2 linked regions of the Daphnia pulex genome follow. The protein of the gene in region 2 purifies or fractionates together with the protein of the main gene of each other region. This does not show direct contact. Links are inferred from orthologs where the notes say so. Each region holds a gene or a part of one and is shown on either strand. Other genes may lie near its edges.

What was found. The genes of interacting proteins can lie anywhere in the genome.
Region 1: the proteins of actin-related protein 6-like (region 2) and ruvB-like 2 purify together in Homo sapiens (co-immunoprecipitation; 7 studies listed by BioGRID and IntAct, counting the BioPlex papers as one, with this or other methods). This does not show direct contact. The link is inferred for Daphnia pulex from reciprocal best matches to the Homo sapiens genes ACTR6 and RUVBL2.

What each region holds. Positions count from the first base shown.
Region 1 is NC_060021.1:8,103,351-8,108,257, forward strand, and holds ruvB-like 2, read right to left. Parts: upstream 3,139-4,907; 5' UTR 3,043-3,138; coding exon 3,037-3,042; intron 2,930-3,036; coding exon 2,816-2,929; exon of another isoform or gene 2,756-2,815; coding exon 2,635-2,755; exon of another isoform or gene 2,616-2,634; intron 2,564-2,615; coding exon 2,413-2,563; exon of another isoform or gene 2,374-2,412; intron 2,344-2,373; coding exon 2,181-2,343; intron 2,121-2,180; coding exon 1,991-2,120; intron 1,895-1,990; coding exon 1,796-1,894; intron 1,721-1,795; coding exon 1,608-1,720; intron 1,537-1,607; coding exon 1,316-1,536; intron 1,251-1,315; coding exon 1,112-1,250; intron 1,045-1,111; coding exon 930-1,044; intron 862-929; coding exon 833-861; 3' UTR 627-832; downstream 1-626. Other genes in the region: uncharacterized protein LOC124194162, read right to left, coding at 3,807-3,959, 4,048-4,182, 4,252-4,299. UniProt on the Homo sapiens protein: Possesses single-stranded DNA-stimulated ATPase and ATP-dependent DNA helicase (5' to 3') activity; hexamerization is thought to be critical for ATP hydrolysis and adjacent subunits in the ring-like structure contribute to the ATPase activity.
Region 2 is NC_060023.1:9,663,005-9,667,280, forward strand, and holds actin-related protein 6-like, read right to left. Parts: upstream 2,579-4,276; 5' UTR 2,520-2,578; exon of another isoform or gene 2,487-2,519; intron 2,411-2,486; 5' UTR 2,403-2,410; coding exon 2,323-2,402; intron 2,262-2,322; coding exon 2,144-2,261; intron 2,083-2,143; coding exon 1,890-2,082; intron 1,826-1,889; coding exon 1,633-1,825; intron 1,562-1,632; coding exon 1,354-1,561; intron 1,281-1,353; coding exon 1,018-1,280; intron 937-1,017; coding exon 807-936; 3' UTR 775-806; downstream 1-774. Other genes in the region: carbonic anhydrase 2-like, read right to left, coding at 2,784-3,017, 3,084-3,311, 3,373-3,478, 3,546-3,696, 3,763-3,918, 3,976-3,999, 4,107-4,199. UniProt on the Homo sapiens protein: Required for formation and/or maintenance of proper nucleolar structure and function. Plays a dual role in the regulation of ribosomal DNA (rDNA) transcription.

The DNA of each region.
Region 1 (4,907 bases), on a different chromosome or scaffold from region 2:
GACAGGATTATATGTACGAAATCACGTTGAGTTTTTGTTTTTCACGCGGGACACACACTGAACGATGGAAATAGGCACAGTTTTTCGTCGGGGTGTATACGGAATTTTTTGATAATTTTCAAAATAAATTGTTTTGGTGTTGGCTGTGTGCACACACACACAGCTCGCGAATACGGTGGCGTGTGTGTGCGGGACTGCTGCACGACTGAAAATGTAGGTCAAGGCCTCGCTCTGCAGTGAGCCAGGGCTCTCTCACGAACCGAATAGTGTGGGCGGCGTTGCCGAAAAAGTCTTTTTTCGCCTCCTCTTCTGCTGCTGTGTGTGTGCTGATTTCCCTTTTCGCTGGCTTGACTTGCGACGGATTTGACACGAAATTATTGCGGGTGCACTCACGGACGACTGAGGGTTCGGGAGCGACGCCTTTACCTCACCAGGTGATGCGTCTCTGATTGGTGCACCTCTCGAGGGCTCGGGTGTTGGCGGGTTATACATGGTGGTAACTTCTTTTTCTACCCTCCCCTTCTTTTTCGTGGTAAAAATTACTTACACAAAAGTCGTAACAAACGGACGCAAATAAGCGACGAGTTTAGGACATTCAGAGCCACCTATCAACCGAAACTAGCAGCTTGACCGAAAGTGTTTTTGTATTTTTTGTCTTCTTTTCGGGTGTACACAATTATTACGAGGCGGGAAGAAAAACAGTTTAAACAGTACGTGTGAGTGTAGTTGTTTGTTTTTTTGGCGTCTTTTTTATTTTGACGGGATTATTTGATAGACGATACAAATGTGGAAAAAAAAAGCTTTTTCATTCAAAATGGAATTTTGAGTTAAGTTATGATGTCTCCATGGCGACGTCAGATTCTGTAAAAATGTTATTTTTCAATGAATACACAAAAGAAAATCTCAGACGTAATGATTCAGGTACTTACTTGGTTCGTCCTCTTCGTTAAACATGAATTCATCTTGAATGTCCTTCAGATACTGGGTGGAACGGGTTTCATCCAGGAATAGCGTGTACGCCTTTTTAATATCTTCTACGGCAATCTATTTAGATAAGAGCATAAAGCAAATGATTAATAACGTGCTGTCTGAATACAGTCTGAATACCAACCTCCATGGCCTTTCGTTTGCGAGCTATGAGATTAGCAACCGTGATGAGCTGAATGGCATAGCGTAAGCTAGTTTCCAAGGAAAGCCTCGTCAAAACGAGTAGAGCATCTTCCGTCATCTCGGCGTCTTCCTCTTCGCACCTGTGCAAAGAAAATATCAATTAAGGCAAAGCCAACGCATCAAATAATTGAAATGATAATTTTACCGGATTTTCAGAATTTGCTTCATTTCCTTTTCCACGTACGGCTGCGTGGCAATGATCACCATCCGATCAAGCAAATCAATTGGGATGCCGTGGGGACTCCGATATTTGGTTCCGCGAATTTTAGTAATTCCACGATTAGTGGCCATAATCAACACTGGCGCCATATCATCTTCCAGAGCACGATTCAAAAATGAAAAACATTCCATGTCTAGCATGTGCACCTACGTCGAGACATGACGGTACGAATAAATATATGCAGGAAGGAGAATGGTATGAAGATTTAATCACAAACTTCATCAATAAATAAAACTCCCGGGACGATTTCCGCTTTGCCCTCTTCGCGCCATTCGGCGACTTTGCTATTGATCTGGTCCCGGACTTCGGATTTGATTTCACCAGTATCCCCTATTGAATGCAAAACAAGAGATTTAATTTTGTAAACTTTCAAGGTCGGGAAATTAAAAATGTATGTGAGCTCACCAGAGAAGAGGGCGAGAAAACCCTGAGTTCTGCTATTGATTACGTCAATCTCGTGCAAGGTGACTGTGTGAGTCACTTCTTTCCGCTTTTGTAATTCGCCTACGTAAATAGAATAGGAGTGGTGTAAGAATATCGTACGATGTCGTCGTCGTCGTCGTAAACCACTTGACCAAAACTGGAATTTAAATAATATACCTTCGGGACACTGAACAAATCTGGTTTGCGGTCCAGTTGCGTCGTAATCCCTAGCCCTAGTGAACGATCGTCCGAGTTTCGAGATCTTGCCAGTGGCTTTGTCGATGGTAATGACGTCTCCAGCTTGGGCCTGAACCACACAAAGATATGTATACAAAATTGAAACACTTTTGTCAAACAAATTACACACCTTTTCCTTGATGAGGGATTCAATCATTTTGTTGCCCAAATCGTACACAGTTTCCATGTCTGTTGTCTTTAATGTCAGCTTTCCAACTTTAGCACCAGTTCCGGTAGCAGGTCTATCAATTTGAACTTCAACAACCTCACCCTCAATGATCTCAGTTTCTTCTCTGTTGAAAACAAATGAAAAATAAGGTTACAAGATTTCTAGGTTGAACAAATTTTGAGTTCACATCTACTTGATTCGAACTCCAATAGATTTTCGAAATGCTTGAGTTAGAGCTTCAGTTTTGCTCATTTCAAGGCTGTAGATTTCCGATCCGGCCATGGATGTGAAAGGTGTGTTGTCCCCGAGAGCCTGTGCCATACCCATGGCAATTGCAGTTTTGCCTAAAAAGTAAACCAAAGTGTTATAAACCAAATAATGGGATGTTTATTGCAGATTCAAAGACAATGTTAACCTGTTCCTGGCTGTCCAGCAATCAATACTGCTCTCCCCGCAATTTTTCCTTCTCTAATCATTTCCAGTACCACACCAGCAGCTCGTCGTGCTGTCAACTGGCCAACCATGCCTTGGGACACCTAACAATCATTTTGATATGTAACTTGTACGATTCTTTTATTCAAATTATTCAAAAGTACTTCTCTTGGTTCCAAAGCATCATCAAGTCCAAGACCTCGAATGTGAGAGTGAGTACCGATTCGTTCAATTCGAGAGAATTCTCGCACTTCTGCTACTTTAACTGATGGGATCGCCTAAAAAATGAAACGATATGGTCCAGAAATAAAAAAAGCACACAAGGGAAACGGAAAAATTAGCCATTTTATCCAAAATAAAGAATTATAACACGTGTATATATTACCGCCATGATTTGCTTTTTACAGTGCGTTGAGTTTCCTATCCTTCCCGTTCAACGCCGGTGGTATCCATGGAAACGGTTTTGAATTGATTGTTCGCTTTACATTCTTTTTTAAAGCATTTGTAATATTATACATCAACATTAAATTTTATTAAATTAAATTATATGAAATTTTAAAACACTTATCGACTTATTTACTACTTTCCTCGAATCTTAAAAAAATTATCAAACATGGCAATGCTGATTTTAGCTCCAACTTTCAAAGGCATAAAAAGGAGCAATGATTTCTTGACAAAAGCTCATTAGCTAGCCTAGTGGCTGTCTGAAACACATCTTTGGTGTCGATTACTACTTCAACGCAAACGTAATCAAATTTTTTTTTAGATTTTTTATGCATATATTCGATTATGATTGTTTTACACAAACCATTTAGCATCTACTGACTTTTTCCAAATGAAAATTTTAGAAAATGTGGAATTCAGAATGTTATAAAGTAAAATTTGTTGGATCAGAGACACGTGCATTTTCAGGACAAACGTTAAGTGAATTCAGTGTACATTGAGTGAGACATAGACTTAGAGAGATTTTCATTTTTGTAACGGGATTCCCAAACGGGAGAGAAAGAGACTTGTGTTACTTTTCACATGGAAAAAATATACCTCGATTTTTGTAAATTTTCATTCTTTTGTAGATGAACAGTTTCATGGTTGACATAGTATTTTAGCAGGGTTGTTACTTTAAATGTAAATAACAAAACAATTATACATTTTTGATTAACCGTGTTTCGCTGTCACCGTCTTCCGTAGTGTAGGTGTTATTCCGCCAGTAAAGTAATCTAAATAGCTCAACAAAACCAACTGAACACTGTTCTTTACCAATTTGCCAGCTAATTTGGTTGTTTTTCTAGGCAAGTCTTTGTCTGAAAGCTAAAAATGGGAAGTAATCGTTCAAAGCATTAGAAAGAGACGACAAAAAATGTGTGCAAATCAATTTGCCATTATATTTATTACGTACTATGTTGTTGATATATATAATCCTTCGGTGAAAATTGCCGCGAAGTCCCAAAACGTGATATTTGTCAATTTTTCTTCCTTCTTCCGCAAAGTTAATTGGGGGCCTGGCTTGTACTACTTCCAGCCGATCTGCAACCTCGTATGTAGTAATTGTTCAACGAATGATTAAGAATTCATTAATTATTTCGTAAAACAAGAGGCTTACCAAAAACGACAAAAGCAGAGCTCCGAATAACAGAGTCTGGGACACCATGTCGCGATTTTGGTTTTAGTCAAAGTGGCCGAAAAATTTAGCCAGGTGTTTGTTTTATACCGCCAAGTTTGTAAAAGGTAACACCTGAAGGCATTGTTTCACTTAAAAAAGAAAATTCTGCGACCCATTTATCAAAGGAAAAAATCCCCTATTCCCTTGGGTGACGAAAACCAAAACTTGATATGTAAATGAAACAAGTTGGTTGTTTTTCAAAAGGTTAAATTGGCAACTAGAAATCATCAGATTTCTATATGTAGATTTATGTTTATACAGTCGCTTTGATGGTATAATAAATTCGACGTTGTCTTTCGACAAGTTGTCCGTCTGATGGCTTCATCGAAGCAAACGTGTAATCATTAATACAAATTGATTCTAGTTACGCTTATCTTGTTCTTTTCACGACAATAATTCAAATACTACAGATAAGAAAATATTCTGCGTAATCAATTGCCAGGTTTATTCAGGATAATTTGGACAATGGGAAGAGGATGCGTAATCCACTTTGTAGACCGGTTTATTCGGGGCATTCCCCCGAGAACTGTAATTGCAGACGTAAAACTGTTTGTAAGGTTGTCCGGGCGTGAAAGGATATCCGTTGTAATCGTCGT
Region 2 (4,276 bases):
GTCAACCGTTGGTCGGCAGCTGGTTTAATACTCTGGGAAAAAATGGAGAAACATGAACCTTATGGACTGTGGCTGATGTATCAAATACGTCGAGGAAACGAACAAAAAGCTAAGGCGTTGACAACTTATAACTACTGCTTTTGTGGAACCCCATTCAACCTAGGCTTAGATTTACACTTGTTCAAATAATAATATTTACTACCTAGTTCAGCATGCTTCCAGCAACATGTTTCCCATAACAGAAATAAATCCCACACAATTGTCGAAAAACACTTTCTCAATATTCTAAAAGACATGTATAAACAAGAACTACTAAAAAGTCGTGATTCTCAACTTACCAAAAATGTGTTTGCTTGTTATCGAGATATTCCCTACCGGCTAGCTGCTCACTCGACGAGAATCAACACGTGCCAGGCTGCCAGCACTGGAACGTTTTCAAGTAGAGTGGGATATATGTTTTGTGAATTTTTCAAAACCGCAGTAGACACTTGATTACAAGCAACCGCTATTTTATTCTCTCACGATAGCAACACTCTTTTGAGATAAAACGTCTCAATAAATACCGTGACGCAGTTTCACCAGCACATTCTTCCACTCAGCTGTTTTTCACACTGATTTGTGCAATGTCAGCCGGGTTGAAAGAGCCTGAGGCATCTTTTTCAAACCTAGTGGTAATATTTTGCAACAGTTAAATAATAAAAACCAAAAACTTTAAAAAAAATAAAATAATTGAAAAAAATAAAATAAACATGAAAAAAAGACGAAAAAAGATGAAAAAAAAGAAATACATTTTATTGTTGAAAAACTCATACATCAAAACGTTGAAGACATAAAGAAAATCCATGTTCTTCATATTCTCGACGTGTTACCAACTGAGAAGAAAATTGAGGATCTTTAGTTAAGCTACATCCTCCTCGCCAGGCATCTGTGACTGGACTATAAGGAGTTGAAAGATGAGATATTGGGTGATGGTTAATGTCGATTCAAATAAATGAATGGTAAAATATTGTATTTTACTTGGATGCCATGTTGATACGGACTTCGCACTCGGCCGGAGCCATCGTCCTAACATCTTTTTCAACCCTTTCTTTGAAGTTGAGCAAAGAACAAGATCCGCCGATCAGCAAAATATTTTTGTACAAATGGCTTTGAACTTCGGAAGGAAATTGTTCAATCACGTGAACAATGGCTTCGGATATTCCCATTTGCTGGATTCCAATGTCAGATGGATGAAACAACAGTTCTGGGACAGCGAAACGTTCGTTATTCATCCTGATAACCTAGCAAGACGAAAAGTGTAATGTATTATAACATTTGAACAAAAACGTCTGGCATCAGCAAAAAATTTCAGACCTGTTCGCCGGACCCTGCTTCGTCCTTTGGTCGCACATAGCCTCTACGAATGGTTGTAAAATCAGGAAGGATGTAGTCTACAACGAACGGATTGTCTTTTCCTCTCTTTTGAGACAACGCCATATCGCTATTAAAATCTGTGGATACAATGCAAGTGTCTTCTTTCAACTGGTTGATAACGTACGTTTCATCCATGACGTTCAATTGCCTGTAAATGGCAATTAAAACATACTATTTTAAAAACTTGTTATTTATTTATAACTTGTGTGTGAAGGTTACCTATAGGAAATTATGTCTTTCAGATGATTGGTTAATACCTTGCCGCCAATTTCAATCCTATGAACAAATTCTGTGATTTTCTTTCCTTGTACATAAGGGATTAAGTGTGTGAAACTGTAACCACAGTCTACCACCAAGCAGCACAATTCAGAAGGGTTCTCTTTTCCATATTTGTAGGCACTCAAAGTTCCAGCTGTAATAACATTAAAATTCCATGAGGAAAAGATTAAATTAATTAACCAGAGACAAAAACTCACGGTTAATTGTCAGGAGAGATTCACACTCCACTTCTTCAAACCAATATTCACATATTCCTTCCTGAATAGACTGGAAATTTAGATATGGCTGAGTCAAAACAAGTGAAGTTGAATTGATGTGAACATTAAAGCAGTCTTTTCCCATCAAGTAATCCCAAACATCTTTCTGAGTGTCCCAATTAATTAGATAGCCCTAAATTAAAAAGATATAGTAAATTCATTTTTATAAATTGTGAAGTAATTAAGTTGCATACTTTTTGAACAGGGAGTATATAGTAGAGACCAGAAACATCCCGACATTCATCAAGCTGGTCACCGATGAAAGGCCTCCTTCTTTCACTTTTTGCTTTCATTACTGCATTTGGCATGACACTATTGAGGGTGGATATGGTTTATACTAAACGAAAACATTATGAATCTTTGTTATATTTACCGGGGTTCTGCATTATTTGCAAAACCGGCTTTGATGTTGAATCCTCCATTATCCAACACAAAAATGTGCTTTGCAGCCATTGTTGATGCTAGTGGGAGAGAAGGAAATGCATTTTGTATCAATATTAAGCTGTTACAATAACTTTTTACTAAATCAAAACATACATTATTAGTTTTGGAGTAAAATAAGAAAAAAACCTTTCAAACGCTGCGTCGAAAAACGAAAAACAATAATAACAAATGAGCAAATGCGCAATTTAGTGAAGTTGTCCCAGTTTTATTTAATTCGTTCATTTCGGGTCGACAATCAATGAATCAAGTAGATTTTCGATTTATTTAGCTTCATTAATATTTATGCAGTTTAGAATTTCGGGTCGACAATCAATGAATCAAGTAGATTTTCGATTTATTTAGCTTCATTAATATTTATGCAGTTTAGAAAAATGAAATAATGCGTCACTGTTATAAATTTACACCTAAAATGGTTAGGAAAGAATTTGCATAAAAAGAAAATACGCATGTGCTATATTGATAGATGTCGACGATAGGTGAGGAAGAATGAGACCAGTTTATCGTAATATGACATCCGGAACGAGATCTATATGTGACGGTGCGTCCGCTCAACGACTGAACGGGCCGGTAATTATTTACCAAAGTTAAACTATCTCTTCCTTTTAAAAGTCTAAATTTCGATAGCTGTAATTTTTTTTTTTGGATAATAGTATTAAAACAAAAATACTTTAAACATGAAGGAATCTCTACCTGGCTCTCGGAGATAGTGATGGAATCATCAAAAACAGTCCAGATAATAATTTCCTCACATCCGGGCGTTGTAAAAGAACCGGAATAGCGGAAGAATGTGGTGGTTCGAGACGGTAATAAATCTTTAAATGAAATCAGATTTACCAGTGTCGTTTCGTCACCGTCTTCGTCAACTTCATTCAACTGATCAACGACAGCTCGGAATGCTGAATTAATCTTTTTCCCTACCTTTGACATTTGTTTTAGAATAACTCGAATAATATTAAGAAGATTAGCTAAATTAACAAACCTTAATGAGAACACCCAAAACGGCTAGACCGTCATCATATTTCGTCGCTTCGGAGAACGATCCGTATTTGGTATTATAGTGAACCAAGTGAAGTTCAGCCGAATATCTTTAAAAATAATTTAAAAATAATCATAATTTCCACAATAATTTAAAAAATTAAATTAAATGTGCACTTTTTAGATTTGATTCGATGCTCGCTGCCGTGCGATGAATCATTTCCCCAGTGAAAGTGAAATTGAACGAAATTGTATCGATTTGATAATCCGCCGCCGGTAATAAAGGGTATAGACTCTGCCGGAATGCTCGAGGGAAGGCTAAACAACACTGCGCAAGCCACAATATATAAAAACATAAAACAACAATAATAATTTTATTCGTGTATCCTCTTACCTGTGTGTCCATTATTGGTAACAGTCATCCGGTCGATGTTTCCGTAATTTCCAAAGTAAAATTTCGGGTAGGCTCTCAAAGAGGCCGTCTCAATGTTGATTGGCGATTGAAGGTTACTGCCACATGTTGGAAATGAATGTTGCCAAGCCTCTGGGTCTATTAAAAAAAATTAATTAATTTTAATATTAAGGCTTGAGATAAATAAGTCTATACCTGTGTAACTCCAGGATGAGATAGCTAAATAATTTATGAAGGAAAAAAAAGCAGCGCAAAGTGAAAGTGAAAATTGTTCTTGAAACAAAAAGCTTTAATGCCAACCACATTTATAAAAAAAGACATGTTACCCCGTTTTTTTTTAATTTCCCAATGTTCAATCCAAGGATTTTCATGGGTGCGGACCATGATGTTAGGGTTGATGACTGCTTGGTGATTTTTACCTGTGGTTTTTTTAGTCGAATAATCAAGACAGGCAGCTTGTTATTATTGCGCAGCTCGGGACAAAGTAGTGGTGACC